Linked DNA regions of Arabidopsis thaliana. The protein of the gene in region 2 interacts with the protein of the main gene of each other region in a pairwise test. Each region holds a gene or a part of one and is shown on either strand. Other genes may lie near its edges.

The links.
Region 1: the proteins of TMKL1 (region 2) and AT1G28695 interact in a protein complementation assay, tested with the Arabidopsis thaliana proteins (one large-scale study listed by BioGRID).
Region 3: the proteins of TMKL1 (region 2) and GATL10 interact in a protein complementation assay, tested with the Arabidopsis thaliana proteins (one large-scale study listed by BioGRID).
Region 4: the proteins of TMKL1 (region 2) and AT1G26850 interact in a protein complementation assay, tested with the Arabidopsis thaliana proteins (one large-scale study listed by BioGRID).

What each region holds. Positions count from the first base shown.
Region 1 is NC_003070.9:10,080,095-10,087,255, reverse strand, and holds AT1G28695 (Nucleotide-diphospho-sugar transferase family protein), read left to right. Parts: upstream 1-4,133; 5' UTR 4,134-4,201; coding exon 4,202-4,306; intron 4,307-4,388; coding exon 4,389-4,781; intron 4,782-4,870; coding exon 4,871-5,362; 3' UTR 5,363-5,385; downstream 5,386-7,161. Other genes in the region: AT1G28710 (Nucleotide-diphospho-sugar transferase family protein), read left to right, coding at 1-406; AT1G28700 (Nucleotide-diphospho-sugar transferase family protein), read left to right, coding at 2,298-2,432, 2,518-2,907, 2,992-3,483; AT1G28690 (Tetratricopeptide repeat (TPR)-like superfamily protein), read left to right, coding at 5,652-7,161.
Region 2 is NC_003074.8:8,999,759-9,007,979, reverse strand, and holds TMKL1 (transmembrane kinase-like 1), read right to left. Parts: upstream 4,412-8,221; 5' UTR 4,340-4,411; coding exon 2,959-4,339; intron 2,873-2,958; coding exon 2,229-2,872; 3' UTR 2,037-2,228; downstream 1-2,036. Other genes in the region: AT3G24670 (Pectin lyase-like superfamily protein), read left to right, coding at 341-983, 1,151-1,254, 1,338-1,476, 1,554-1,775; ABI3 (AP2/B3-like transcriptional factor family protein), read right to left, coding at 7,200-7,364, 7,477-7,553, 7,671-7,717, 7,851-7,951, 8,097-8,189. UniProt on the Arabidopsis thaliana protein: Does not seem to have conserved a kinase activity.
Region 3 is NC_003074.8:10,586,646-10,594,346, reverse strand, and holds GATL10 (galacturonosyltransferase-like 10), read left to right. Parts: upstream 1-3,661; 5' UTR 3,662-3,853; coding exon 3,854-4,951; 3' UTR 4,952-5,331; coding exon of another isoform or gene 5,332-5,352; 3' UTR 5,353-5,400; downstream 5,401-7,701. Other genes in the region: ABCB15 (ABC transporter family protein), read left to right, coding at 1-426; AT3G28335 (uncharacterized protein), read right to left, coding at 5,332-5,352, 5,577-5,903, 6,163-6,195; AT3G28330 (F-box family protein-like protein), read left to right, coding at 6,588-7,701. UniProt on the Arabidopsis thaliana protein: May be involved in pectin and/or xylans biosynthesis in cell walls.
Region 4 is NC_003070.9:9,300,306-9,309,588, forward strand, and holds AT1G26850 (S-adenosyl-L-methionine-dependent methyltransferases superfamily protein), read right to left. Parts: upstream 4,024-9,283; 5' UTR 3,604-4,023; exon of another isoform or gene 3,540-3,603; intron 3,135-3,539; 5' UTR 3,128-3,134; coding exon 2,477-3,127; intron 2,397-2,476; coding exon 2,186-2,396; intron 2,094-2,185; coding exon 1,799-2,093; intron 1,716-1,798; coding exon 1,326-1,715; intron 1,235-1,325; coding exon 1,157-1,234; intron 1,067-1,156; coding exon 841-1,066; 3' UTR 501-840; downstream 1-500. Other genes in the region: ORC6 (origin recognition complex protein 6), read left to right, coding at 24-120, 222-298.

The DNA.
Region 1 (7,161 bases), on a different chromosome or scaffold from region 2:
TGGAGGACACTTGATCAACACGGGATTCTACCACGTCAGGTCCAACAACAAGACCATCTCCCTCTTCCAGAAATGGTACGACATGAGGCTCAAGTCGACGGGCATGAAGGAACAAGATGTCCTTAAGAGTCTCCTAGACTCTGGTTTCTTTAACCAGCTTGGCCTCAACGTTGGCTTCCTCAACACTACCGAATTCAGTGGCTTCTGCCAAGACAGCCATGACATGGGCGTTGTCACCACCGTCCATGCCAACTGTTGCCGCCACATCCTTGCTAAGATCTCTGATCTAACTCTTGTTCTTCGTGACTGGAAACGCTACAAAGCCTCCCATGTCAACAGCAATTGGAGCCCCCATGTTGAGTGCGGGCGTTCATGGAGTGACACTCACTATATCCCCAAGCTCTGACCTTCTTCGTTCATATATGCCAATTAATGAGATTGCTATAGTATACACAACTTCATCATCTATTAACTGCATATGTTCTTCAGATTAATCCTAGCTAGCTAGAGGAACAATTCTCTTTTGACAAGTAATTACAAAACATCATATATGTGTGTTACAACCAGATTGTTTTTCGCTCTTCGTTACAGCTACCCAAATAATTGCTGATAATTCTACTACCTAGCTAGCTACTTGATAAAAAGAACACATAGAAGACAGAGTTTCAAATCCAATGCACAAGTTGGTGGATAAAAACCAAATGAATGATCGAGACCTCGTGCACCAAAAGCAAGAAATATCATACCATTAGACCAAATGCTATGTTGCTGATGTAAAACTTAAATACTTGATTTCTCTTCTGTTTTGAGGAAATCAATTGATGTAGCATACAAAACTGTTTTCTGTACAGCCAAAGTGAGTCATCGGATGTGAAAGAAAGGTAATTTGTGGATCCACTTTTTTTGTTTTGAAACTTCAGGCACTTGATTTCTGAAAGTCTGGATGGGGATACAATAAAAAAACAACAATACTCTCATATATTACATGTGAAAATGTTTGATGCAATCCGGTGATGAATAGTTTAGTCAACCTTTGATGAACAGTATCATCAGGCGGTTATGAACATTGTCTTTGAGAATGACATTTTGTGTAATTGAAAAAACGAGAATGATATTTATGGCTTTAATTTTTTTCCTATTTTCTTCTTACATAATTTTCGAATTATCATTGGTATGTAAATCTAATTTTAAGTCTTTTGGGTATATAAATTAACTAAAACAACAATTTCATTTTATTTTGTTACAGGAAAAAGAATTGAAAAGCAGTGATTTTCTCATATATTAGGATTTGATCTGCAGTAGCCGCATGATAATAATTTTGTGCATATACATAAAGTCTTTGACATTTATTTTAAAATTGTGCATATTTTACATATTGAAGTTTGTATTTAAAAATACTTAGTTTTATAATCAAGAAATCAGTAATATCGCTGATAAATATGACTAATTGGATTAAATTTGATATAGTCTATATATTTGAAGTGTGTAATTTGTGAATATGAATTTTAAGTAACATCATAATAACTACTGCTCTATATAACATTGTGGAGGTTAAAATGTAAGAAAGGAAAATACAGATAGTATAATAACTAAACAAAAAGACTAAACATCAGAACAATTGGAGATATTTTATAGTTCTTTTTCAAAGTATTATAATATTTACATAATTATATAGATTATTAGAATTATTAATTAGTTGGACTATTATAGATATCGTTTTTTTTTTAATTATTGTGTGAAATTTGATCATTTTAAACTACCAACGATCCCAAAGATGATGCAAGAGAAGAGTCTTTGACCAAATGTAAGAGAAAAACGTGTTTTCGATGATTGATGGATATGGAGATCAGAATTAAGAAACCCTGATGAAGCACTCAAACTCTTCACTATAGGATGAAGGATTCCGTATAGAACCCAATTACATATGTAACCTTTCTTGGAGCTCTCTCGGCTTACAACTACATATGATTAGTGGGTACCTAAAGCATGGATTGATAAAGTAAATATTTATAAGATTCTCTAATCTCTATAGCAAATATAATAATATGTTGGCGTGATGATAATCGTGAGACTAAAGTAGGAAACAAAAACCCTAGAACAAAAGATGATTCATGTGTGACGTATTCGAGAAGGAACCTTAAAAACGTTTGTGATATTCACATTAAACTGGTGTTATACATCCAAATCCGGTAATATAAATATAGTGTTGAATTGTTGTGTGAATCAAAAGAGAGAAAATAGGGCACATGAAATAGTTGTGAGTATATCCTAATAATCCGAACAAAAACCAAAAACATATGACTTCCTACAATAACTCCTCCGGCAGTCTCGCCCTGGCCGTTGCTCTTCTATTTGCCGGCGCCTTATATATCTACTTCTCATCACGTTCAGCTTCTGATCCCATCTCCGGTCTCCTACAAAATGTCAACACTGTAAGTTGATTCATATAATATATATGGAATTCTAGAGTACAAATAAAGGAAGATTTGAAATATATTTTGAAATGGTACGTGACAGAGATTGATACAGTATCCGGTGGACGAGCTAGAGACGGTGCTGGACAAGGCGTCGACAGGGAACAACAAGACGGTGATAATAGCAATGGTGAACAAAGCTTACGTGGAGGAGGATGGAGGAGGGAGGACGATGCTGGATCTGTTTTTGGAGAGTTTTTGGGAAGGAGAGGGGACACGCCCGCTTCTTAACCATCTGATGGTGGTTGCAGCGGATCAGACGGCCTACGATCGCTGCCTCTTCAGGAGGCTCCATTGCTACAAGATGGATACGGAAGGGGTTGACTTGGAGGGAGAGAAAGTATACATGTCAAAAGATTTCATAGAGATGATGTGGAGGAGGACTCGCTTGCTCCTAGACGTCCTCAGCCGCGGCTACCATATTATTTTCACGGTTAGGTCCGTCCCTTGATTTTGTAACATATATAACAAAACACTTAATTTGTTGCTCAAACAAGTAGTGTATATACAATGTTAGGATACGGACGTGATGTGGCTAAGGAGTCCCTTGTCCCGGCTAAACGTGAGCTTGGATATGCATATAAGCGTGGACAGAAATAACGTGAGAGGACAATTGATCAACACGGGATTCTACCATGCCCGGTCCAACAACAAGACCATCTCCCTCTTCCAGAAATGGTACGACATGAGGCTCAAGTCTTTGGGCATGAAGGAACAAGACGTCCTCAAGAATCTCCTAGACTCTGGCTTCTTTAACCAGCTTGGTCTCAACGTTGGCTTCCTCAGTACGGCCGAATTCAGCGGTTTCTGCCAAGACAGCCCTGACATGGGGGCTGTCACAACCGTCCACGCCAACTGTTGCGTCCACATCCCTGCTAAGATCTCTGATCTCAGTCTTGCTCTTCGTGACTGGAAACGCTACAAAGCCTCCCGTGTCAACAGCAGGTGGAGCCCCCATGTTGAGTGCAGGCGTTCATGGAAGGACGTTCATTATGTCCCCAAGCTCTGACTTTCTTCGTTCATATAAGCAAATTAATGAGATTGCTATATAGTATACACAATTACATCATTTATAAGTGCATATCTTCTTTTGATTAATCCTCTAGCTAGCTAGATGAGCAATTCTCTTTTAACAAGTAATTACAAAACATCTTATATGTGTGTTACAAGCTATATTCTCGTTTTTTATTTTTTCTTTTAATAATATAGAGATTAATTTACTATGTTAGACAAATATGTTTTTGTTACAATGATTGTAGAAAAAACTACTTGGCTAATCTAATTCCGAAAGAGAGGAGGGCAAAATGGAAAGAAATTGAGAATGATCTCAATTAAGGTAGAAGAGACATTTATATCATTTCTTACCTAATGGCATATCATGTAAGTAACTAAAAGTTTTGTTAATTTTGATATGTAGTAAATATATATGTACGTTTATTGGATTCATATTAATTCCCTTAGGTAAACAGAATGTTACGTGAACGATTGAAAATCTCACAGAGTAAAAACACAAAAACCCTAATTACATGACGATTCTTATGTGATATATTCGTGAAGGAAGGAACCTTAAAAACGTTAGTGGATTTTCTATATACATTATTCACATATATCCATCGTTTATATAAATAAATAAATAGGTTAATTGTTTAGTACAAAATCACGAGAGAGAGAAATAAAAAAGGCGTGAGTCTCCTAACTAGCTCCTAATAATGCGATAAACCAAAAACATGCCACTTTGCAATAATTTCTCCGGCAATCTCGTCGTCGCCGTTGCTCTCTTCTTTGCCGGCGCCCTATATATCTTCAACTACCAAAACTATGTCAACACTCTGGTAAGTAAATTCATAATATATTGAAATTAGTGTAGAGTAAATATATATATAGGAAGAATTCAAATATATGAAGTGGTAACAGAGAACAACACAGTATCCGGTAGATGAGCTAGAGGCGGCCTTGTATACGGCAGCCGCCGGAAACAACAAGACGGTGATAATAACGATGGTGAACAAAGCGTACGTGAAGGAGGTTGGAAGAGGGAGTACGATGCTTGATCTGTTTTTGGAGAGTTTTTGGGAAGGAGAAGGGACTCTACCACTTTTGGACCATCTAATGGTGGTGGCAGTGGATCAAACGGCCTATGATCGCTGCCGTTTCAAGAGGCTTCACTGCTACAAGATGGAGACTGAAGATGGGGTTGACTTAGAGGGAGAGAAAGTATTCATGTCAAAAGATTTCATTGAGATGATGTGGAGAAGGACTCGCTTGATCCTAGACGTTCTTCGTCGTGGCTACAATGTTATTTTCACGGTTAGTTCCCTCAGATTTTGGAACATATAACAATATAAAACATTTTAGATTGTTGCTCAATTAGTATATTATATGTACAATGTCATCAGGACACGGACGTGATGTGGCTAAGGAGTCCATTGTCTCGGTTAAACATGAGCTTGGATATGCAAATAAGCGTGGACAGAATTAACGTGGGAGGACAGTTGATCAACACGGGATTCTACCACGTCCGGTCTAACAACAAGACCATCTCACTCTTCCAAAAATGGTACGACATGAGGCTAAACTCGACGGGGATGAAGGAACAAGACGTTCTCAAGAATCTCCTAGACTCCGGCTTCTTCAACCAGTTAGGTCTCAACGTTGGCTTCCTTAGTACCACCGAATTCAGCGGTTTTTGCCAAGACAGTCCTCACATGGGCGTTGTCACTACCGTCCATGCTAACTGCTGCCTCCACATCCCTGCCAAAGTCTTTGATCTCACTCGTGTTCTTCGTGATTGGAAACGCTACAAAGCGTCACATGTCAACAGCAAATGGAGCCCTCATCTTAAGTGTTCGCGTTCATGGAATGACACTCACTATATCCCTAGGCTCTGACCCTCTTCGTTTACAATACGCAAAATTAATGTGATTGCTAAACTACCATTAAGGGTAACACATGACATATGCCTCAACCTTAAAACATAACTATATCAACTATATCAAACGCTGTCGTTTTATCAAATACATCAAACGCTGTCGTTTTATCAAATACATCAAACGCTGTCGTTTGACCGACTTCTCTCTCTCTCGTTCTTTGCATTTTGGAAAGTTCGAAACAGAGCCTCTGTAAATTACGCGTAAAGTTTCAATCTTTATTCACACAATTCACACAGCTAATGTAAGCATGAGAATCTTCAGATTCACGTCAATCTCACCGCGGATTTTGCCGTCGAATCATTACTCAACATTCCCGTTGAAACAAAACGTGTCTTCTCTCTCACCGGCGAAATACATTGCGGGAGCTTTACAAGAACATATCAATTCTCCGGCCCCAAAAGCTGGTAAGAAGATACACGCAGATATCATCAAAACTGGGTTTCAACCAGATTTGAATATATCCATCAAACTACTCATTCTTCATTTAAAATGCGGTTGCTTGAGTTATGCACGCCAAGTGTTCGACGAATTACCCAAGCCAACATTATCGGCTTACAACTACATGATTAGTGGGTACTTGAAGCATGGATTGGTAAAGGAATTACTTCTTCTAGTTCAACGGATGTCATACTCTGGGGAAAAGGCAGATGGGTACACGCTTTCCATGGTTCTAAAGGCTTCTAATAGTCGTGGCTCGACTATGATACTGCCGCGTAGCTTATGTAGGTTGGTCCATGCCCGGATTATAAAATGTGATGTTGAGCTAGATGATGTGTTGATTACTGCACTTGTTGATACTTATGTGAAGAGTGGGAAGTTGGAGTCTGCAAGGACTGTGTTTGAAACAATGAAAGATGAGAATGTTGTGTGTTGTACATCAATGATCTCAGGTTACATGAATCAAGGTTTTGTAGAGGATGCGGAAGAGATTTTCAATACTACCAAAGTGAAGGATATTGTAGTTTACAATGCTATGGTGGAAGGTTTCAGCAGATCAGGTGAAACTGCTAAGAGATCAGTTGACATGTATATTTCGATGCAACGAGCTGGTTTCCATCCGAATATTTCAACTTTCGCTAGCGTGATTGGAGCGTGTTCGGTTTTGACGTCCCATGAAGTTGGTCAGCAAGTGCACGCTCAGATTATGAAGAGTGGAGTTTACACGCATATCAAAATGGGGAGCTCTTTGTTAGACATGTATGCCAAATGCGGAGGGATCAATGATGCAAGAAGAGTCTTTGACCAAATGCAAGAGAAAAACGTATTTTCGTGGACTTCGATGATTGATGGATATGGAAAGAATGGAAACCCTGAGGAAGCACTCGAACTCTTCACTAGGATGAAGGAATTCCGTATAGAACCCAATTATGTAACCTTTCTTGGTGCTCTCTCTGCTTGTTCACATTCTGGTTTAGTCGATAAAGGTTATGAGATCTTTGAGAGCATGCAGAGAGATTATTCCATGAAACCAAAGATGGAACACTATGCTTGCATAGTTGATCTCATGGGACGAGCTGGAGATTTGAATAAAGCTTTCGAATTTGCTAGGGCGATGCCGGAAAGGCCTGACTCAGATATTTGGGCAGCTCTTCTCAGTTCTTGTAATTTGCATGGTAATGTTGAACTCGCAAGCATAGCTGCGAGTGAGCTTTTCAAACTGAATGCTGATAAAAGACCTGGAGCTTATTTAGCTTTATCCAATGTCTACGCTTCTAATGATAAATGGGACAATGTGAGCAAGATCCGAGAAGTGATGA
Region 2 (8,221 bases):
AAATATATCAGATTCTTTACGTTCTAACATTTATTTAAAACATCACAAAAATAGAAAGTTAAAATAAAATTAAAAAGAATGATATAAAAAAGTTTCCGTATGGTCCGTATCATATGATTCCGTATAAATGGTTTACATTTATTACACCACATGGTTCCTTCTTCTCCTCCACGTGATTTTTGAACTCCAAGAGGGCTTTAATGTGAAATCAAAAACTTCACGGGTCAATTTGTAACAGTTTAATAACTCTGTTCTCTTTTTGTTATTTTCAGGAAAATAAAAACTTCACGGGTCAATTTGTAACAATTTAATAACTCTGTTCTCTTTTTGTTATTTTCAGGAAAATAAAGAACAGTACAGAGCGGAGGAGGTTAGGATTCTTCTCATGCGCCACCGGAAACCCAATAGACGACTGTTGGAGATGTGATCGGAATTGGCATCTCCGACGAAAGCGTCTCGCGAATTGCGCGATCGGATTCGGTCGTAACGCTATCGGAGGACGAGATGGTCGTTACTACGTAGTCACAGATCCATCTGACCACGACGCGGTTAATCCACGACCAGGAACACTCCGTCACGCTGTGATACAAGACCGTCCGTTATGGATCGTCTTCAAGCGAGACATGGTGATTACTCTAACTCAAGAGCTAATCATGAACAGCTTCAAAACAATCGATGGAAGAGGCGTGAACGTTGCAATCGCAGGCGGTGCTTGTATTACGATTCAGTATGTGACGAATATTATCATCCATGGGATTAATGTACATGATTGTAGAAGAACTGGTAATGCTATGGTTCGAAGCTCGCCGTCGCATTATGGGTGGAGGACTATGGCGGATGGTGATGCTATATCGATATTTGGATCGAGTCATATTTGGATTGATCATAACTCTTTGTCTAATTGTGCTGATGGTTTGATTGATGCTATTATGGGATCTACTGCTATTACTATCTCCAATAACTACATGACTCACCACAACGAGGTTAGCTTTCTTTGCTGATTCAGTGGAACTGATGATGAATTTGCTGCAGAATCACGTTTTTGGAGTGGATTTTGGTTGATTTAGTAGCTAAATTAGTTAGTATAGTGAACTGAATTGTGTAGGGTGTGTTAAAGAGTTGAGAAGAAGTTTCTTGATGGATAATGCAGGTTATGTTGATGGGGCATAGTGATTCGTACACTAGAGACAAGTTGATGCAAGTGACAATAGCATATAACCATTTTGGGGAAGGGCTTATACAGAGAATGCCGAGGTTCGTCATGCATTTCATGTTTTCTTTTCGATGATTGTTTGCTACAAGAATCAGGAGGGCTGATTCTTTTGTTGTTATTTCAGGTGTAGACATGGTTATTTCCATGTTGTAAACAATGATTATACTCATTGGGTAATGTATGCAATTGGTGGAAGTGCTAACCCTACTATCAATAGTCAAGGCAATCGTTTCCTTGCCCCGGGCAACCCTTTCGCCAAAGAGGTATACCTTAATTTCTCTCTTTCGGAGTAGGAGATATTGAGAAAGGATGAATCTCAATATTGTAATGGTTTTGGCAGGTGACAAAGAGGGTAGGTTCATGGCAAGGGGAATGGAAGCAATGGAACTGGAGATCTCAAGGAGACCTAATGCTCAACGGTGCCTACTTCACTAAATCTGGAGCTGCTGCTCCTGCAAGCTATGCCAGAGCCTCTAGCTTGGGAGCTAAACCAGCTTCTGTAGTAAGTATGCTTACCTACAGCTCCGGTGCCCTTAAATGCAGGATCGGTATGCGGTGTTAGTTAATTGTATAATCCTCAAACCCAAGACCGAAGAGGATACTGACTAGCTGAGGGAGACAAAGGAAGAAAACTAACTTGTTTTCTTCGTCCCCGTCATTTACATTTTCATCGTCTCCTTTCTTTTCTCTTTTACCATTTTAGACTCTTCTCTGCCTCCACTCGTCAACCTAGGCCAGCTTTGATGAGCCGCAGTGTTGTTCGACTCAACTCCAAAATTGTAGTACAGTGCATTCTTCTTCTGCCTCATTACTCATTTGGTGTATCATCATGTATCATATATTCTTCTATCAATATTAATACTTTGAACTGCTTCTGTTACACTTACACCATTTCTCATCAACAAATATAGATAAAATCAAATCAGAATGGTTTCTTGCCAAGGAAACAAATATAGCCAACTAAAGTGAGGAATTACAGAAGAAAAAAAAAGCTTGTAGAAGAACACAATTAGACTCAAAATGGAGTTTCGGCGTCGCTCCTGGTTTCGGTTGGGCTGTACAATGCGGATCTATTCCTCGGTCTGTTCTCTTCCAACTGCTTCACAACCTCTTCCATGCTGGGTCTAACTGTTGTAACAGGAGCACAACATCCCATCGCTAGCTTCAATGCATGAACCAAACCTTCTTCCATTGGGCTCCTAATCCCTTTCATTGCCTCCAAGTCGAAAACCTCCATTGTCGTCTCTTCCAACACCGCAGCTTTAACCAAAGAAGGCAAGTCCACAAACTCATTACCGTTCCTTCCACTCTTTCCTGGTTTCTTACCCATCAATATCTCCAAGAGAAGGATCCCAAAGGCGTAAACATCACTCCTTGGATTGCATTTCTTCATCTTGTGGAGTTCAGGTGCTTTGTACCCGTCGGATTTCGCCTGCGAGACAATCTCATCTGCTACTGCCTGTACCATTATCTTGTCAAGCCCAAACTCAGTTAGCCTTGCAAAGAAAAAGTCGTCCACAAGCACGTTCTTTGATCTAATATTTCCATGGATGATAGGAACTTCTTGTCCAGTATGAAGATAAGCAAGTCCCCTCGCTATTCCAAGTGCAATCTTGTGTCTCCTAGCCCAATTCAAAGCTGGCTTTCGAGGTTTACTTTCTGCACATCATTCAAACAACACATGAATAACAAAAATCAACCAAGAAAGATCCATGGCAAAAAAGATTGATGATGAAAGAAAATACCATGCAACAAATCATGTAAGCTTATGTTGGGAAGATAGTCATAGATGAGAAGCTTTTCTCCTCTCTTCCCTTGATAGAAAGCTCTCAAGGGAACCAAATTCTCATGCCGAATGCGTCCTAACTGCCTTATAACAGGCAGACAAGAACTTCTATCCTTGCAAGTACCTTCTCTCAATAGCCTCAATGCAATATTCCCTCCATCACTAAGCTTAGCTTTATAGACAGTACCATAGCTAGTCTTCTCCATAACTTGCCCAGTAGCATTCAAAACATCATCCAACGTCAGATTCTCACCACCTTGAAACACAACTAACTTTCCTTCACCGCCTTCTTTCTCACCGATTTCATCTTCTTCATCACCTTCTTCCAAATCATCTTCACTCTCTATACTACTCTTTCTTTTCTTGTTCTGCAAATACCCTATTAACAACGAGGCCACAACAACAGCTCCAGACATTAAACCAATCACCAGACCAGCAACAGCACCTGGACTTAACCTAGAGGAGCCTAGACAAGGCTTCAAAGGCAAACCACAAAGGCTAGGACTGTTCCCTTCGAAAGATTCTGCTCCAAACTTTGACTCACCAAAATCTGGCAACATCCCACTGAAGTTATTATGAGAAAGATTGAGACTTTCTAGCTCTAATACACCTAAACCCTCAGGAACAAGACCTTCAAAGACATTACTTGAAAGATCAAGTGACTTCACACCTTTAAACCTAGTTATAAACTCAGGAAACTCACCTGAGAACTTATTACCACCCAAATCAAGAACTTGGAGATTACCACAAGTCGAATTTGGCAAAGCAGGCTCAGGCAAAACCCCAGACAAGTTATTACCATGAATCTTGAAAGAGACAAGCTTATCACAGAGGTTCCAAATCGATGGAGGCAAAACCCCAGCTAAGGCATTACCACTCAAATCAACATCAGAGAGAGAAGAAGTGTAACCAAGCTCAAGAGGGATTGACCCACTTAATGAATTGATGTTGAGGAACACACTTTGAAGCATAGAGAACTCACCAATCTCTCTAGGGAGTGAACCAGTGAGATTAGCAGAAGGAAGCTGAAGAGAGAGAAGGTGAAGAGAAGAGTCGTTGAACAGAGAGGTATTAGTCCATTGTGGTGAAGAGAGGTCACTACATTGAAGAGGAGACCCATTTGAAAATACCCATTTTACACCTCTCCATTGACAAACAGGAACAGAGGAGTTCCAAGAAGACAACAGTAAGCTCTCACTGTTTCCTTGTAGTGAAGACTTGATTTTTCCTAAAAGAAGCTTCACATCAGAAGAACCAGAGAGAGATGTTCCACAATGACAGTGAAGAATTAGCACAAAGAAGAAGATAACATGAAGAAATCTCAAAGCTTCCATGCCCATTTCTCACAAAGAGACAGAGAAAGAGAAAGAGAGGTTAGAGAAGGGAAAGGTAAGGACTTTGAGTTTCAAGACTGGTCCTTTGTAGCAGAAAGAGAGTGTTGACTACTTTGTAAACACTTTAGTCAAACATCTCAACGGCTATGATTTAAACTCAAACCGTATTGATTATTAACCGTCCGATATAACCAAAAGTTGGAATCTTTATAATCAGAAAGTGTAAACCGGATTGATTGCTTACCGTCCGATCAAGTGTGGCTTAAAGCGATGGACAAGAATGGTATAAATCTACTGATTACTCCTGAATTTATAAAGTTACTTTTCTTTATAACTTTAATTGATTAAACTATAAGCACGCTCAAAGTTCGAATTAAGACTTTTTCTTCTGCCAAAATAATAAAATGATGTTTTTTTATCAAGGTAAATGTTTTTGTGTAATTTGGTTCATGGGATGTTTCATGCTCCTTGAATCTTGACCGTAGATGAGTCATTGGAGACATGAGATGAGTGAATCAACGGTGGATGATGGAGAAGGTGGAGAAATCTTAGATAGTTTTGGTTTCTCTAGAAGACAATTTGTTGGAAGTACACAGAAAATGAAGAGCCAATATTTTGAAAAATGGGAAATGTGAATATCTAAGTGAGATGAAGTTATGTTGTCTATGTCCTTTTGTGTATTGTCTATTTCGAAATTTCAGGGGTGTCAATCGAGTAGACCGGTCAGGTGTCCGAAACATATTTTGGATTTGGATTTTGACATCAAACAAGATTGAGTAATTTGTTTTATTGTTGGATCAAACACGCTCAATTTTTTTTGCGTAGTATTTTTTGGCATAGAAAAATAGAAGGCTTGAATGGTAGTAGTTTATACTTTATAGCATAGTTATTGGTTTTCCAAAAACCCATTTAATTATCCAATCAAGATTAGAGTTCGCATTTTTGTAAACAAAATGAAAAATAAATCCCACTTTAATGAGTTTTTGATAATTGTTTGCAGATTTCTTTTTGTAATTTTAAATCAATATTTTTTCCTTTTGGCAAAATCTATAATCCAAAACCACTTAAAAACTCAAATATTCATGGCCAAAAGTTGTTTTCTTAAACCTAAGCATATATAGATAGGAAAACAATTTCTAATATACTGTATTTTACAATGGACTAGTAAAAGTTTATGAATGATGTGAAAACAATTAGATATACTGAGTCACAGCAGACTAAAAAAAAATTTTTTTGTTGAAATAGATATCAAGTTTGGCTTTTAGTAATATAGAAGTGTCTGAATTTGGTTAAAAAATAATCATAGATAAAGAAATTTATAAAAGGCATCTGATGGTTACTTTGATTCTAATTGACACTTTTGTTCCAAACATTTGTTACAAGTCGGGAAAATTATTTATTGTTGTATACCTCTAAGGTGGCTACACCATTTCGAAATTCAATCCTTTTGGAAAATGAAAAAAATATCTATACATTTTTTTTTTTTGAACAACAAAAAATATCTATACATGTCGATCATATATTCATATGTAGAAAAAGGCATATATTGATGATAATAAGACCACATAATTAGAGCAATATATGTTCTCCAGATATAAATCTCATGCAACTTTATAGAAGAAGAAGTTAGAAACATGAGGAGTCCTTGATTAGATTACTGAGACAACTATGTATGTCACGTCTTTATCAACATCTGAAACTATTCAACTACCACGCTGCTCCTTTTGTAATCAACTTCACTTTCATAAGATCAGATTATTTCATCAACTCCACTTTCTTTTTTGTTTCTCATAGTCTCATTATAAGTCTTTTGTTTTCAAGTTGTCAACCGTCTCACGGCTTTCTAGTAGGGCCTGAATGGAGAAAGGTGTGGTGTGGATATTTGGCACGGGTCAGATCATTGTTTTTTTGAATATCTCAATTCCTTAGGTGCGGTCCAGTTTTTGGGTTTAACCAAAAATAAGAAAGAATAATGATGTATCACAAACAACACACTTATATGAGGAAAATTATAATCCTACCTCACTTGTTTTTTTCCTCCAAAGATTTTCGTTACTCAATAATACAAAGGGTTCAAGCTAACTAGATAAACAAGAAAATGATAGAATCAAAGTGGTAAGGAACAACTCTTCTTAAAATGTCCATATGTAAACATTCTATTTACAAATATTTACAATGTGAATATGTGAATGATATGGATAATTTTGTACATATGTCCATATGTACATTAATTATCATTTTGTACATTAATTATCATTAATTATCATTTTTACTATCATTAAATTGTCCATATGTCCATATTTACAAATAATTTTGTACATTGATAATGATAATTAATGTACAAAATTAATTATCTCAATTCCTTCTTAAATTGTCCATATGTCCATATTTACAAATAATTTTGTACATTAATTATCATTTTTATTATCATTATCAATGTTTGTGTAAAAATATTGTATCATTCAACTCTTCTTAAAACATTCACATTATAAACGATATGTAAGCTCGACTCAAGAAATGAGCCACATATGTAATATTAACCAATTACAACAACAAAAGAACTATATAATCATCTCTCCAGAAATATAACACAAACACCATTTCCAGAATTAATCATCTCTACAATATCCTGAAGGTAAAAAGAGTAAAGAGTTATAAAAGAACCGACTCGACAAGAAAAAGCAAAAAATGGAGTAAAAACCCGGACCCCGACCAAACAGCTTTAATCATGACCCTCCATTTGTCTTCAAGATCCCATGCATGCACGAGAAGTGGCACACTCGGGTACGCTGCCATTTTTTCCTTTTGCCCTCTTTCTTATTTGGTACATAATAATATTTATATTGTTTCTTTTTGTCTCTGTTTTTCATTTAACAGTTTGAGAAGTTGGTGAAGCGACCACCACATTCGCCGACGGAGAGTTATTGTTTATGTTCCTTTGCGACTTGTTTTGTCTCTTCGTAGCTGCTGACGACGGTGGGGCCTCCGGCTTTTGTCCGCTCGGTTGTCTTACTTTAACCCCTCGTATCAACTGTCATAATATTATTCTCAATTAATTATGACAAGATAAATACCAACAAAAGTAATGATGAGAGTTAAATACTAATGAAAAGTATAGAAAAATATTGTGATGCTTCTCTTACATATTTGCCACATTTGACGTCGGAGTATATGACTATGAAATCACCTTCTTGGAGCCCATTGGTTTTCACAAAATCGCCTGTAAACGTAATTTCAAGGAAAATTAGATATGTATGCGTCCACAACAATAATTACAAGAGAACAAACAAACCAAAAGAAAGGAAAATTATTAACGGGTACATTTTCAAAAACGTACCGGTGTTCTCGAGGAGATACATCCTGCTTTTGTTGTTAGGCCAAAACCTGCAAAACCAATTTAAGAAGACAATTAAATAACCGAAAAAACATTTTGGTCGAGTTCCAATTTTTGACAAAATACACGAATTGTTTTTATAAAAAGAATCAATGTTAACATGTTAGCATCATAATCAGTTACCTGTAGCGCATGTTCCAAACACGAGAGGTTCCGATGTCTTCCATGGCCAGAGAGATGCCGTCTCTTGCCTCTAGCTCCGGCAAGTGTGTCTCAGCTTCTTTCTAAAAAAAATAAAAATTCAGTAAAATATAACTTAACCAATAAGAGTAAAAATAAAATAAAAACTTGACAATATTTTTACACAAACATTGAACCTTTTTTAGAAAATGGAAAGCAAAGGCTACAAGAAATTAGAAGAAAAATTACTTTTGGCAAAACGATCCTTCCGAGGTTACCCACGTCGCTTTGCTTCAAGACTTTCTGCAAGAGAAACCGCAAATTCTTTTCTGGTTTCCATCCCTAAAATCAAACCAAAAAGATCAAAATCATTT
Region 3 (7,701 bases), 1.6 Mb from region 2:
ATAGACGAAGCAGAGATCATCGAGGCGGCGAAAGCAGCGAATGCTCATGATTTCATCACGTCATTAACGGAAGGGTATGACACATACTGTGGAGACAGAGGAGTACAGTTGTCTGGTGGTCAAAAACAGAGGATCGCGATAGCTAGAGCGGTTTTGAAAAACCCGTCAGTGTTGCTTCTAGACGAAGCGACAAGCGCTTTGGACAGCCAGTCGGAACGTGTGGTGCAAGATGCTCTCGAGCGTGTTATGGTAGGGAGGACGAGTGTGGTGATCGCACATAGGCTGAGCACAATTCAGAATTGTGATGCAATTGCTGTTTTAGACAAAGGCAAACTCGTGGAACGTGGGACTCACTCTTCATTGTTGTCAAAAGGTCCTACAGGTATTTATTTCTCATTGGTGAGTCTTCAGACAACTTCTGGTTAACTTAAACCATGTCGTTTCATCGCTAATGAAATTATTTGTAATCAAATAAATGTCAAGAAGTTTAATTTTTAAAGCGGGCTACGATTTAAACACTATATATATAACAATGGAATGTAAAAAAGAAAACAAAGCTTGTTAATTGAATAGAAATAAAATAAACGTTTTCCCAAATCTCATCTCAAAGCTTGTGGCTTCTCTTTTTAAGTTTTTATCTAGAAGTTCTAAGATATATACATAACCCAATTCAATTTTACCCTCAAGTTTCAGTTGAAATCCAAATGATTTGCAGTTCCAAGAAAAATTATTAGTATCTACTATTTTTTTCAACTCTATATTTTCTTCTATTTTTAGTTGACTCTATTTTAGAGGAAATATACTTGACTTTGCTCCATTGTATGACTCTAAAATAGAGGTAAAGTGTAGAGATTGCTATTTTTTGCTCTATATATAGAGTTATTTCTACATTTTTCTTCTATTTATAGTTAACTCTATTTTAGAGTCATACAATGGAGAAAAATCAACTATATTTCCTGTAAAATAGAATCAACTCTAAAATAGAGGAAAATATAGAGTTAGACATTGGAAATGTTTTCTTGGAAATGTTTTAAGAAAACATTTCATGTCGATATCGTAAAATACTGGTGTGAGAAAAAAAAAAAAAAAAAAAACTCAAGCATGAGATCGATTCTTGTTGGATTAGCAATATTTAATTTGCTAACAAAAATAACATTGTAATTCATGATCTGGATTCACAAACTGCATCATATCTTCATACGTTGGATATTGCTCTATACATTATAGATGGGTCATGGGAGTGCGTGCAAATGGCATAATGGTGGTAATTAGAAGAAAAAAAATCCAAATTTAATGAGTAGGAAAAGAAAATTGTAACAAAAAAAAAAAAAATCATAGTTCTAAAATAGAATTTTAGTTATATAGTTAAACAAAATCACGTATGAATGTTTCTATTTCTCTACTGTATTGTTTAATTTTTTGGAAAAATACACTTAAATTTATATGATTATTATTATTAATAGGTTCAGTCACAAATGTATAAAGCACACGAAAAGAAAAAGAACTTTCGTTCTTATAGAAGTCTTAATCTCCAGCGCACGACATAAGATATTCATTTTCATATCTTAATAATCGATTGTCGGTTTGATATAGTTGAATTTCAATGGTTAACCAATTATTTATATTGAAATAAATTTATAGCCTTTATAGTAATTAATAAGAAAATTATATAAATTGAGCTGAATTGCCTCTATTATACTGTATAAAATTGCATACTATGTGTAATACTATTGAAAGCAACTCGTAACAGATGTACCGTAAGATTCTTTTCATTAAGTTGCTTCTAAATAAGAACCCGCTAGAATTGGTAATGTTAGGAAGTTTTGTAATTAGGTTAACATAATTCCAAAGTGTGAGATATATATACGCATTACAAAAGAATAATGACATTTCCAGCCCACAGCCGCACATACAGCTGTCTTCAAACATAACACAATATTTTTGTTTCTTATTTGTGGATTTAATTTTAATGAACAATTATAAGAAAATGTAACCTTTTTAGAAAGAAAAAAAAAATCAATTTTTAAGAAAGTAGGTTTGCATGATTAAACATAAAATCAAAAAAAAAAAACAGGTGAAAGTATAGTGGCTGCTTTCTGTAAAACCAAAAAACGAATAATTATATTCCAAATTTAAAATTTTGATTGTCTTTCTCATATCAAGTGTTCAAATTAATGAAATGATGAATATTATAAAGTTCTCGCTAATTGTGTTGATTAGTTCTGGTTAAAGTAAACTTTTAGTGCGTTGTTATTTTCTATTGTCCACAAAATTATCATAATTGTAAATTATTTTATTTATATTCTTCATTTGTATCGTTTAGAAAAGGAAGAAAAATATAGATATATAAATTCCATTCATATTATTAGAAGCCGAGAACATTTGTTCATGTGGAATTCGTATATGCTATAAATAGTAATAGTAGTTCAGAAAATTTGCTAATCCAAAGAGATCAATTTTTAAAAAGTGAATATTCCAACTGTCTCATAACATAAAATACTGGGTCCTGACGTCCTGTATAAATTTGCAAGAGTTAGATTTGTTTGGAATGATGCTACAATTTGTATACCATTGTCATCACAAGAGAAAATTAATAAACTCTACTTAGGGAAACAAACAAATTCTAGTCATAGAAATGGGTGAAAACCTGCAAATAAAATCCATTCAAACGAGGAATACTCACATGCTTATAGAGTAAACACAAACACTTTCTATAATTTCTTTAATTAGAAGTAGCATTGTATCCAATGAATGTGAGCTGACCATTTAAATATATCATTATCTTTTGGGCGTTAGTCAATAGTGAATAGGTTATATATAATTGTATATCGTAATATGTAGAGATGCACATGGAACCATGTGTTCATTGGACCATTATCAACCCATATTCTAAAATTGCTGGATTCCTACAACCTAACATACTTTTTCTTTTATATGTAACATTTATGTCGATGCGTGAAATGTCTACATTTACATGCGTATTCATTTAATTAAATTATTAGTTAATCTTTCATACTTAATATTTAATAAAACTTTATGTCAATATTGACTATGATGAGTTAGTTAAACCTAACATTTATTTCTGTAAACAAAAATAGGTTATACTTATATATCGTTTATTTAGTATCTTCATCTCCAAAAATTGACCAACTCGAAATTCTCAAAAAACATTTAAAAATTAAAAACTTTCCCTTGCCCCCTAAATTTAACGAGTTAATATGTATAGATCATTTGCTCTCGAAACTATAAAAACTCAAATTTTACATAAATAATCACGCCTCTAAACCGTAATTATTTATTTATGACCCCATTAATGTCAAGATCGGTCCTAGATATATGAAAAAACGAATGATTAAATCTTCTTTTTTTCCGAATAAATCTTGTGAATAGATATGCCATTAAGAGTTTTAATATAACGGTCAATATTATTAACTACATGTTGTACTTGTACATATGTAACTGGTCATAAATGTATCCTTAATCTTTACAACCATATACAATGAACAATATTCACCAATACACTTTTTTTGCAGTGTCTCAAATTCAATGTTTGTTATACATTGACTGTGAGATAATAAAAAAAAAGTAATTTTATGGGTTTCTAGAAATAAAATAAAATATCTAAGAAAAAACAATGATAGTGACAATAAAAGAAAACGAGTTTTAAAAGAGCGTAAATTGACTCTCTTCTTTACAAAACCGCGTTTCCTTTTTTGTCTTGGTCTTCTTCGTCGACCTTTCTCTTTTTCTTTCTCTTGTCCATAAATTCCAGAAACTTTTTTTCTAGACACTTTAGAAACACCAAACCTTAAAAAGAGCTCTGCTTTGAGATCTTAGCCATTAAGTTCTCTTGATGATGTCTGGTTCAAGATTAGCCTCTAGACTAATAATAATCTTCTCAATAATCTCCACATCTTTCTTCACCGTTGAATCGATTCGACTATTCCCTGATTCATTCGACGATGCATCTTCAGATTTAATGGAAGCTCCAGCATATCAAAACGGTCTTGATTGCTCTGTTTTAGCCAAAAACAGACTCTTGTTAGCTTGTGATCCATCAGCTGTTCATATAGCTATGACTCTAGATCCAGCTTACTTGCGTGGCACGGTATCTGCAGTACATTCCATCCTCAAACACACTTCTTGCCCTGAAAACATCTTCTTCCACTTCATTGCTTCGGGTACAAGTCAGGGTTCCCTCGCCAAGACCCTATCCTCTGTTTTTCCTTCTTTGAGTTTCAAAGTCTATACCTTTGAAGAAACCACGGTCAAGAATCTAATCTCTTCTTCTATAAGACAAGCTCTTGATAGTCCTTTGAATTACGCAAGAAGCTACTTATCCGAGATTCTTTCTTCGTGTGTTAGTCGAGTGATTTATCTCGATTCGGATGTGATTGTGGTCGATGATATTCAGAAACTATGGAAGATTTCTTTATCCGGGTCAAGAACAATCGGTGCACCAGAGTATTGCCACGCAAATTTCACCAAATACTTCACAGATAGTTTCTGGTCCGATCAAAAACTCTCGAGTGTCTTCGATTCCAAGACTCCTTGTTATTTCAACACAGGAGTGATGGTTATCGATTTAGAGCGATGGAGAGAAGGAGATTACACGAGAAAGATCGAAAACTGGATGAAGATTCAGAAAGAAGATAAGAGAATCTACGAATTGGGTTCTTTACCACCGTTTCTTCTAGTGTTTGGTGGTGATATTGAAGCTATTGATCATCAATGGAACCAACACGGTCTCGGTGGAGACAACATTGTGAGTAGTTGTAGATCTTTGCATCCTGGTCCGGTTAGTTTGATACATTGGAGTGGTAAAGGGAAGCCATGGGTTAGGCTTGATGATGGTAAGCCTTGTCCAATTGATTATCTTTGGGCTCCTTATGATCTTCACAAGTCACAGAGGCAGTATCTTCAATACAATCAAGAGTTAGAAATTCTTTGATTTATTCATTTTTTGGGGTTTTGGTATGGTAAATTTTGTGAACTCATTACATGGATTCTATGTTTTTTGTTATTCCTTTTTTAATGTACATACAACATAAATACATCGAGGATTTTGTTCAAGATATTGATTATTGATCTTCATTCGGCTTAAGTATTCTTTGCCTCATGAATCATGAGTTGTGTGAATAAAAATAAGCTTATATTATATGTGTTCTATTCCAAATCACATACCTATATTTAAGAAAATAGCAAACAGATTTTTATTTATCTAAATACATTTTCATATATATGCTATCAACCTAGTTAACTCTAAATAAGTATAATTGGATCATGTATTTTGTTTTGTTTCATTAAAAATATGTTTACCAAAATACAAAACTAGTTAGTAAGAGGAGAGATCTGCGGATACTTGAGGGGTTTTTTCATTAAAAATGCCAAGTAGAAACTATAATATGATTTTGCAACGATATTTGGAGCTTTTTGTGGTTAATAGAACTTTTTTTCTTGGAAAATTTGTATCAATAACCAACAAAAATTTAATAATTTACTAACTAACCAAAATAAAAAAATGGATGATATTCAGTATATTTTCTACAATATTTGCTATTATACCTGTTTCTTACCACCACAATCATCTCCGTCATCACCGTCGCCGCCGTCATCACTACCACTACCACCGTCGCCGCCGTCATCATCACCGCCGATGCCGCCGTCATCATCACCGCCGATGCCGCCGTCATCACCACCACCACCGCCGGTGGAGCTACAACCCTTACCGGAACGAGTGCCATCACCGGAGTCACCACCCCATCGTCGGGGTTCCCATTGTCACCGGAGCCTCCATCGTCACTAGAGCCACTATCGTCGCCGGAGCTACCATCGTCACCAGAGCAACCGCTGTCGCCGGAACCACCTCCGTCGCCGTAGCCACCACCGTCGCCGGAGCCACTCTATTGCCGGAAGGAGTGAGTTGTAATTAAATACCCCATATGTGTTAGTCATTGAATTATGCATATTATAGTGTTAAGTTATTTAATAACTTTAACAAATATAGTTATTCACTTAATTTACCCTTTTTTTCTTTCTCTAGCGAAGCTAAAGAATTGGGGCTTTTATTGACTTTTTCTCTTAAATAGTTAACTGTGTAATGTGGGAATTACATTTTGAGCAAATAAAAAAGAGTGTATCGTTCCCAATATACACAAAAACCGATTTTGTTATGCAGTATGGATTTGTAGCCATTGGAAAGAATTGCTCAGTTTCTTTTGGATTTGTAATATGGGTAAGAATGTTTTATATTTAAGCAAAATGAGAGAAAAAATTGTTTTATATGTTGTGGTGTTATAGTGTTTCCATTTGATAATAAAACAATAGTGTTGTTAACTTATAATTGTTTTTGTTGGAAAAACTTTTCTCTTTTAACTATAAAAAAGCACTTTAAATCTAGAAAGGGCTTAAATAGGGCTCAACCCTATTTTAAACTTTTTTAGGCTTAAAAAGGGTTAGGGTTTACTTAGGATTGGACTTTAAATAAATAGGGCCGGGTTGGGCCGGAAAACCCTATTTAACATCCCTACAAAATCGAGTGAAACCCTAATCGAGCACGCACAAAAAAAAAAAACCTAATCCAATTCATGGAGAGACAAAAAAAGAAGGATATGGATTTTCTCACAGAGGATCTATGGGAGATTATACTTGCGAGATTACCACTAAAGAGCATCATCACCACTCCAAAACTGGTTTGCAAGGTATGGAAATCAATCATTGAGTCTCGGTGTTTCCGCGACCTTTTCCAATCTCTACACCAAAACTCTCATCATTCTTCATGGTCACTCATGTGTAGAGGTTGTGAGACAGAGATCATGTCTCACTATGGATCTGACAATTGGAATCTTAACCATTCTCTCGGTTATTACATCTCTTCCTTCCTTACCGACAAATTCGAGAACTATAATGAAGCTAGAGTCGTGTCTTACACGGATGTTGGATTGATATTGGTTCATCGAGTGTCAAGTCAGTCTTTCTACGTAGCTAATCCTGTTTCTAGGCAATGCGTAGAGATTCTTCCTTCACAGAAACTGGATTGTTTCTGGATTTTGGGAATAGCTACAAGAGTTGAGAATGGCGTCGTTTTAGGTTACAAAGTTGTTCTGTTGAAACCTAACTTCACTTTCCTCATATATTCATCTGAGACAGGCTTGTGGAGTCTCAACAGTGACACTTTTCCTTTCAGCTATATATCTCAAGAGTTTAACAATCCCATTAGCTTGAACGGAAGTCTTTACTGGCTCGCCCACGGTTCCGAGTATCAAGATTTCATTGTATCCATCGATTTCTATGTTGTTGATAGCCGCTCTGATCGATGCCGCGCTACGCCATTTCCTGATTTAGATAAAGTTCCGAAATTCAGAAGAACTTGCACAACTTCTCAAGGATGTCTCATGTATATGAACATATTCTCTATACCAAAAGTTGATGGTAATTTAGAGGACAAGTTATGTGTATGGAGGCTAGAGAGCTGGCAATGGCGACTAGTATTCGAAATATCTTTGGATTCTATTAAGACTGGTTTCGATTATATTCCGTTGGGAACAGACCCTTTTGATGCTAAAACAGTCTACCTTTGGAGTCGCAAATGCTTGTTATCTATTAACTTACACAATGGAGACATTGTGCTCCACAAGGATGTGGAACATAGCAGCGCGGGTCGCATTCTGAATTCCGTTGATTGCCCGAGAGATATGACAT
Region 4 (9,283 bases), on a different chromosome or scaffold from region 2:
CTACATGTGATTTGCTTCTTCAGTCTTCATGTTACAAAAGACACAAGAAGATGGAGGAGGCTAAGTATGAGGACTGGAAATCTACAGTCGTTAATTCGATTAAGAAGAATCCAGAGAAAGGTACTCAAACTTTTGTAAATTGATTTGATCACCAAAAGAAATGATTCATTTGTATGTTTTCTCTGTTGCTGATGTTTCTGGATCTTGTGTTTTCTTTTCAGGAACTAAGAGAGTTATACAGGCCAGTCTCAATTTCCCAAAGAAATCTGAGACCAAAGAGTTGCAAGTTGATTCATAACATTACACACATTCAGAGACTCAGATCCTGTTATTGTTGTTTTCATCACATTTAATGTGTAAATGACAATTCTTGATAAGAATTTTTTTTTTCCCCAAACCATTTTCTATAGATTTTTATGCAAATAATGGACACATAAATGTCTACTAGATAAACTATGATCAATTGAATAAACTACATGGTATTTCGTATACCTAGTGGTAAGCAATTAAGCATCGGTTACGTTCGGTTTATTGGTCTTCGACACATCTCTTCTCCACACTAGTGGTAAGCATAAACATACTCGTCGATTTAAACAATCTGAGTTTGTAAGAGAAGAAGAAACAGAGTTGGCTAGTGCAAAAACTATTAAGTTGAGAATTCAATGGTACACCACAAAGTTCCAAGCTTTTGGATTGGGAAACAAAAATAAACTATAACATCAATAAATAGATACTTCAAAAAGTGTTTAAAGACAAGATTTGCAGCTCTCTCACATTCCCTAAGGACGAAAGCTCTATCATTTGATCAAAATGTCAGGTCACACCGGAAATAAAGTAACTTCAGTGAGTCGAGGTGGAGTTGGTGACCCAATACTGCTTCACGGCAATCAAAACCTTCTCAGGAACTAAAGGACCATCCTCATGATCGACAAGCTTCGCATCCCATCTCATTCCAGCGATGATTCTCTTCACCTTGATCAATGTATCCACATCATCCCGGATTATAACCGCTCCTTCTGGTCGGAGAATTCTATCCATCTCTAGAAGAATATCATCCGCATTGCACCTAAAGAGTTTCGGATTCATACATTAGCAATCTCAAAATACCTCTAAAAAACTGTTGTTATGAATCATTACACAAAACAGTTATACATACTTGTTCTTGTATAGACTGAAGAGGTGGTTCGCGTGGATCAGGTCATATGTTCTTGGATATGTAGAGAAAGCCTCACACCTGAAACCATTTCAGTAGACAGAGAGTCTCTCAAACCAGAGACAATGAGTTATTGAGAAGTTGTGAGAAGAGGGAATAATCTTTTACTTACCAGTCATGGTAGATACCGATGAGTCCTCGTTCATATACAACTCCGAGTCTGTTCTTTTCGGCAATTGTGGGAACAACATTCATAACCCAAAGCTTTTGGGATTCAAGAGCAGCAGCAAATCCACCAAACCCTGCGTTCATGTCCATGATGTTACGGTACCTTCCAGTGTCAAGTAGACTGTTGATTCTCTTGTAGGCTTTCACATGTTTTTTCCACTGTCTGTTATCGTCTTCATAGGCATCAACAGTAACACCAGAGATCGAACCGCTAGAGATCCTGGGCGGCACTGCATTGAGCCTATCTGGGAAAGCCTGAAGCTCACCACCAGCTACTTCATCTGAGCTACTTGTCTCCGGATACGGTGTAATACATGCCTCCATTTTCTTGTACCTAGAGAAGATTCATTATTAGAGCCATACGGTGATGTTTCTAGCAAGGAAAAAAGAATGAGGAATATAAGAAATGAAACTTACCAGACATCATCGGTATCATCGGTTTTGCAGAAATTGGCTCTAGGATCATCTTGTCTTGATCGGCATGCCTCATCATTGACTCTCTTCTGCCAAATTGCAATCTCACCGTGTTCATACTTTTTCTCCCAACAAAGAAGTTTAGCAGCTTCCTCAATCTTTCTTTGTTCCTCTTGAAGGTCCTCCTTGGGACGTTGCCATGCCTTGTAGTTGACTTTCCAGTTGATTGGAGGACCAGACAGAATCCAGTACCCACCAGGTCTAAGCACACGGTCAACTTCCATCAAGTACATCCCATCTGTTATAAAAGAAAAACAGCATTGTAAGTAACTGATATGTCTTTAGACAAAGTGAAAGTCAAATTGATATAAGATCAGAAAAGGTTTTAACCATTTGCTCCCCATGGAATCAAACACCGAGAGCAATGAGCCATGTCGAAAGCACGTGTTGGGTATGGCAACTTTATGGTACCAAGAACACCAATAACAGCGGGAACACCTCTCTCGAGAGCAAACTGGACCTGAGCCTCGTGTGAATCTCTTGGTGCAAAAGACATTGCACGCACATTTCTGCTCCATAAGTACGCTCCCCAACTTGCAACCTAACAAAACGTCTCAATTTAGTTCCACCATGTAAGTATTGTAGTTTCAATAAGAAAGTCAAGAAAGTATAAAACATTACCCCACAACCAGTGTCCAAAGCAGTCCTAACAGTTCCGTTCTCCATAGGTATCACGGAAGCAAGCTGATCGATATACTTATCAGCACCTTGAGGGAACTGAGTTCCACCACCAGGGAATCTAAAAACGTCTCCCTCATACTGAATCCAATTCTGAATAGCCTTCTCAACAGTCAATGCTTTATACGGCGCATTAGCATAAGGCACATAGTCTCGACTCTTAGGCCAAGAGAAAGGTGTCACATATCCTTTAGGAGCCGGTATAAGACAATGGAGCTTCTCATTCTCAGGAGCGCAATGCCTTTCTCGGTAAATCATACTATCTCTCGGGAAAGTCATGGCACGTCTCTGATCTTGACAAGGAGTGTAATCCGTGTAACGACCATCACAGGGCTCGAAAGCCTTGACCTTTGCAGCTTCAGAAGCACCAACAAGACTTGATTCGCCAGCGTGATGAGTCTCGAAATTCAAGCTAGGAACAATGTTGCAATCAGCTCCACTGTTGGTCATCTCAAGAGCAATACTGTCTCCTTTACCAAAACCACTTCGTTGCCATGCTCCCAAAATGTAAAAGAAGCAACATAAACTAAACACAATGAAGATCTGAACAGAGCTTCTGGTTTTACCATCAGCAGAACTAGACTTCAACGCCATTATTGATCTAACAAAACACAGATCAGCTCCAAATCAGATCAAGAGGCAAAAAAAAGAGAGTGAAGCTTTAGATTTGAATAAGTAGATAGAGACATAACAACAACAACAACAACAGTTCAAAAACAAGACAAATATACTAAAGAGACAAAAGAGAATCTCAAATCTGTTATATTATTAAAACTAGAACAGAGACATTCATAAAAATAAAAACTTTGTCTTGAAAGAGAAGCAATAAATCAAATCTTCCGTAAGAATAACGAAAGAGATCTAATAAAACAAGCTACAACAAAACACTAGTCTTTAACTACTACAACGTCATTAGTTATTAACAGATTGAGAAACAAAACAGATTTTTAAAAGTAAGCCCGATCTGACAAAACAGAGATAGATTGGTCGGAAAGAAGGAACATACAGAGATAATGAAGGAATCTGGGAGATCTAGTGGTACAATTGGTTGATGAGAGAAGTAATAATACCCAAACTCCGAGAGATTGTTGTCGGTGGGAAAAATGATGATGACGGAGAAAGGAAGGAAGGAATAGAGGATACGTGTAAGATGATTTGTGGGGGAACCCTAGTTTATGCGTGAATCGTCGTCACCATCTAGCCATGGGATGTGAAAAAGAGAGAGATAAAGCTGGCGATTTTTTGTTATTGAAGGAGAAATCTCTCTAATTTGCCCTTTTTAAAACAGAGCCATTGAGATTGAGAGAGAGAGAAGAGGAGATGAAACTTTGTAGATTCAATCGACGTCTGATATTTTCGTATTTTTATTTTTTTCTTTAACCTAAAATCGGCGGAAAAATTATAAAATTAATAAAAGCTAAGAAAAATTTGATAAAATAAATAAAAAATAAAAAGGAAAAAAATAAAGAAAATGAAAAGCTGATAGCTTGAAAAAAAAAATACAAAAAAGTGATTTCTTACTGTAATTCAGTACAATTATATTGTTTCACACTCTAACCAGAAAAAATATATTGTTTCACACTGTTTATAACCAGAAACCAGAATGAATAAGTTTATGCATAATTGGGAAAAAAAAATAGAGAATTGAGAGAGTTTATTAGAAGTTAAGTTTCGCGTGGAGGCTTTACAAAATTAAAGTTTTTGATACAAAAAAATAAATTTGATTAAACTATAAATTGGTACTTCCAGTAGGGAAGAACATACCTCTGAACATGGGGACCCATCAATTGTAGAAAAGCATATGTTGCAAAAACCGCGTAGTAATTAATCCTACGGACTACGGCCCCTGATGATTACTAGTTGGATCCAACGGCTGTAAATGTATCTTAAGATTGGTCTTGCTCTGTGGAATTAATAATTTGGGTTTTTTTTTTTTCTTTGTCATCCGAAAATTAATTAGGACTCAAACGAGTCAATCCTGAAGAATGTTGTTTACAAATGTAATATGAAGCGGTTGGGTACGAACTTTTCGTGCCAAAAAATCTGCTTTAACATTAGTACTACGAGAGATTAAAGATAGAGAAAAGTTTGTGAACTCATCCTTATCGCTCTGTAACTCCTCCAAATACGATGAGAAAGCTGGTCATTCGGTTGGGGAAGACACCATCTCCACCAGATCTGAACAGTCTGTAAGAAAAACTACATCTTGGTTGTCGGCACCAATCATACACTTCATCGCCCAGAGGAAAGCTTCCAGCTCGGCATGTAAAGGAGATAAACTTCTTCTGAGATTGGCAGCTCCCAAAGTTGATGTCTCTCCAGTTGATGATGTACAGTACCATCCTAAGCCTGAAAACTTGTCGGTATCTTTCCAAGATCCATCTACAAAACAACGATATCCAGAATAATTGTTGTCTAAAGAAAAATGCCGCACTCGATTACGATCTTCCAAATTGAAAGAACCAAAATTTTCGTTGTGAAGCTCAAGTTGAGCGGACTTCCACAAGTCTGACTCTTTTTCCGCCAAATGTAAGATCTCTAGAGGATCTTTATCCACATTATCAAAGATTTTTTTATTCCCTGCTTTCCAAATATACCAAATTATCTATGGAAATGAAGATGAATCAAATTCTAAAGGTATGCGCCAAAATAAATGATCCAAATTTGCATATATAGATGCATAAGGAAATTTTTCTGGGACCGTAGGTATCTGTGAAAGTGCCCAAATCTGACGAGCAGGATGGCATAAGAAAAGCGTGTGGTTAATGGTTTCTTCTAGAGCACCACATCTGCTACATCCTATCTCACAGTTTATTCCGCGTTTTCGTAGATTGTCCGTTATTGGTACACATCCCGCTAAAATTTGCCACAAGAAGTGATATAACTTGGGCGGACACTGTACTTTCCATGAGAATGCTTTTAAGACTTTGATGTCTGGGTCAAAAAAAAAAAAAGTTAGCATCCAAAGTTTTTAACCTCCTTAGTATGATGTCTGGGTTCTTTATTTCTTTTTTAGTTTCCTTAGTATGATTTAATGTTAATTAATGAATAATATGTTTTTTAGGATGAGCAGTAATTTTTTTTAGTTGATTTTCTAGAAAAAGCACACAAAATAAAAGAAAAAAATTAAAATTGATCATAAATGTATTAGTTTTTGTGATTTCTGTTTTTCTATTATTCTAAACCAGTGATATTCAATTATTTATTTTAAAATTTAAAATTTATTCATAATAACTAATAAATAGTGCATAAAAAACTAAAAATTAATCTTTTTGAAACAATTTTGTTTTTTTTAAAAGATCAAGTAATAAAGAACATCTTAGAGACACGTAGCAATGAAATTTAAATTTACAAAATAAAATAAAAATTTTTGAGGTAATTCCGATATTTGTATTTCTCATATGTGTATTCAAAATCAACTTTGAACAATTTTGTAATTTTGATCATCCTTTTTTTTTTAATCATTTTTGTATCAAAATATGTTAGTATATCTCGTATTTAGAACTTCTATGACATGATTCAACGTTTGTTTATATGAAGTTAAATAAATTAATGGTCATTAATAAGTTTTTCTGAAACTGATGTATTTAGGCTTGATTAATGATTAGTTTCTAGTTTCTATGAACTCATGTGAACTAATGCACACCCATCGATCTAACTAGTCAATTGAGGGACTTATGGATCTTCTATGAACTGATGTTTTTAGCTATGTTTTTATGAACGGACGTATTTATGCTTCTTTTTATTTCTCAAACAATTAATGGGATACGTGGATCTCAATTAGACATTTATGTTTTCGTTTCTCGTATTCAATGTTCAATTATGTTTGACTCCCAATAGTAAATAAATAGTCTTCAAGTTGGTTAGACCCACCATATCTTCTTGCTGAGTACACCACCGACTGCAAAGTATTGTGGATTTTATGGTTGAGTGTCCCAAATTTTCATAAGACCCCATTAATTTAAAACCAAAACTATATATAGGCCACTCATACCTCACTCCCTTGTAAGAAACATACTTATCAATCAATAACTCATTTTAAAAAATATGGATTTATGTTTATTAATTAGTATCATGAGCGATTTAAGTTCAAATTTAGACCCAATTCATAAGATGGAGGAAAGGGTCAGAATTCCATATAAAAAAAAACACAACGTAAATGAATATTGTGAGATTGATATCGGGGAGCTGAATAATTATGTTCAATCGAAATCTGATTTGGGTCATCAAGTGACATGACATGTTATTATCATGTTTTGGTTTTCTAGTCAATATACATTCGTACAAAAAGTTGTTTAGTCTAAGCTTACAATGTCTGATGAATTTGTTTTTATTACTCCTTCTATTTCATATTATATCGGAAAGTTAAAGAATCGTCGACATCTATTCATATACTTTTAAACCTTTTGAGTTTCACCAAAACTCACTTCATATTTGCCAAGGTTATCAAGATATGTTATAAGCTCTCTTGTTTTTGGATAGCCTATTGGTTAGGAAATATTCATCACACCCATCGTGTTTTACTTTTACCAATGGATGGCTAATGATTATGAGCAATAATAATAGAAGCACTCTATTCTGTTTTTTGTTAAAAAAAAAGTTTTGTACTAGATTTTCAAATGTCAGACTCTAAGCGAAAACTAATTTCCATAATTAGTTGGCCGACCTACATTTACAAATTATTAGCAAAGATAATTTTTTTTTTTAAAAGTACAATAATAACATATTTCTTTTGTCGGCCAAGTAGTAACTCTTTGAAGACTGTAAGTGTAAACAATGAAGTTGTCGTTTAGAAAGCACTAAAGCAGCTTTGAGAAATTACCAAAAATAAAAACGATGTCAAGTCGTCAATAATATTTATTGATTGGCCCATATTGCTGATTAACCAAGTCAAGGCCCAATATAGGTCTTGAAAACTCACACACCTTCTAGGTCCAAGATATTAAACACGTACGATATGACTATCATGAAAAAAAATTACGCATCCACATTGGTTTTCTTAGTAAGTGAATGTCTAAAACGATGGATAAATGAATATTAATTGATACTTTTCTTGTAACTCAATATCTTAAGACTTTAATCTAAATCTAGCACTCATTTGTTCAATAATGTTCAAGCTTATAGTCTGGTAGAAATAGAATTACGATAAGTATTGTTTAAACAATAAGTAATTAGTGCACCAGTAAACTAATTAGTGAACCAGTAAATTAGACAAATATGGTTTAAACAATAAGTAACAAGGGAAAAGAGTTTGGTCAAAGATAAAAAATTCGAAGGTGAGGGACATGATTAACTGTGGTGAGGAGGGTTAATTATCTTCACGAAGACAGAGGTATGGATGCTTGGGCTTGAAGACTTTGAAGCTTTGACTAATGGTATTTTTCACATTTACTTATTATGTACTGTGAAGAAATAAACAACAATATGCATAGTCATATAGAAAGAAAAAGAGGCTCAAATATCAAGTGCACACGCTTGGGAAGTAAAAACCAAAAAGAGTCAAAACTAGAAGAGAGACAAAATGGGTATAAACCGAGGAAACTTGGCTTTTTGGAATTTCATTGGGTTTGACGTATCCCCTAGCTATGCCTTTAGACTTTTGCCTATAGTGCGATCTGGTTTTGAAGTCGGTACCAAAAATTAAACTCAGGTGACGCTGGACCATCAAACTACATTCTATTTTTCCAGTTTTCCACATGTTAATTTTTTTTTAAAGTATTTTTACGTCAATTGACTTGTTGATGCCCGATAAAAAACCTATTATGAATAAATAAAATAGCATATGATAGTTTCGACTTTCGACCTATTATTCAAAATTTTGAGAATGTGACGCTGCGTATATTTTAAAATTAGACTACAGTATATAAGATTTCATAAAAATGAAGTATTGAAATTATATGCATTTCACATAAAAAATTTTTTTTTTGCTATTTAAACCGCACAACGATGAAAGTTTACGTTTAAAAATTACATGTTAATTAAACACTAGTTCACATATAAATTTTTAATCGCTATCTAAACTGTTAGGAAGTTTAGTTTTGAAACGTGAACGTTAAACAACAGATTATGATACACTTTTCAAAAGGCCTTTAACGTTCCAAAATGATTGTGATGCTGCTGAATAAAGGATGATGTCTCATGTACTAAGAATTTCGATGTAGATGGAACGATGCAACAACATTAGTTATCCAGTACAGATTCACTAGAAAACACTTAAAAAGTGACTTGAATTTACTACTTTTAAGTCTTAATTAAACGAGTTAACATATACAGCACTTAACTAAATATCGAGTAAGTTTTTATTCTATCTATGATTGCAAATAAAAAAACGAATGTATTTTTCATAAACTTCACATCATACGGACACACATAAAATGAAGTATATATATATACGATTTCAAAATATTGAAAAAGAACAATATATCCTTCATCAAACTCATTCTCTTTATTGCACTATCTATTTTCTTAACAATACATTCACTAAGAAACCCATATATAAAGATTGTTTTTTGGATTTTGTAATATCGAAATGTATAAGTCCGATCCATGTCATTCTACTTAGGTAATCAACATCAATTTCAAATAATTCTATTTGCCTTGTCAACTAGCATGACTTTCGAAAACCGATAAATTTACAATTTGACGCTGTAGTAAATAATTAGTTGATCAAATTGACGGTACTTGTACATACACAAAAATGATTAAAGAAAAGATTTTGGATAGATATTTAAAACTTCAACTAGATTTTAC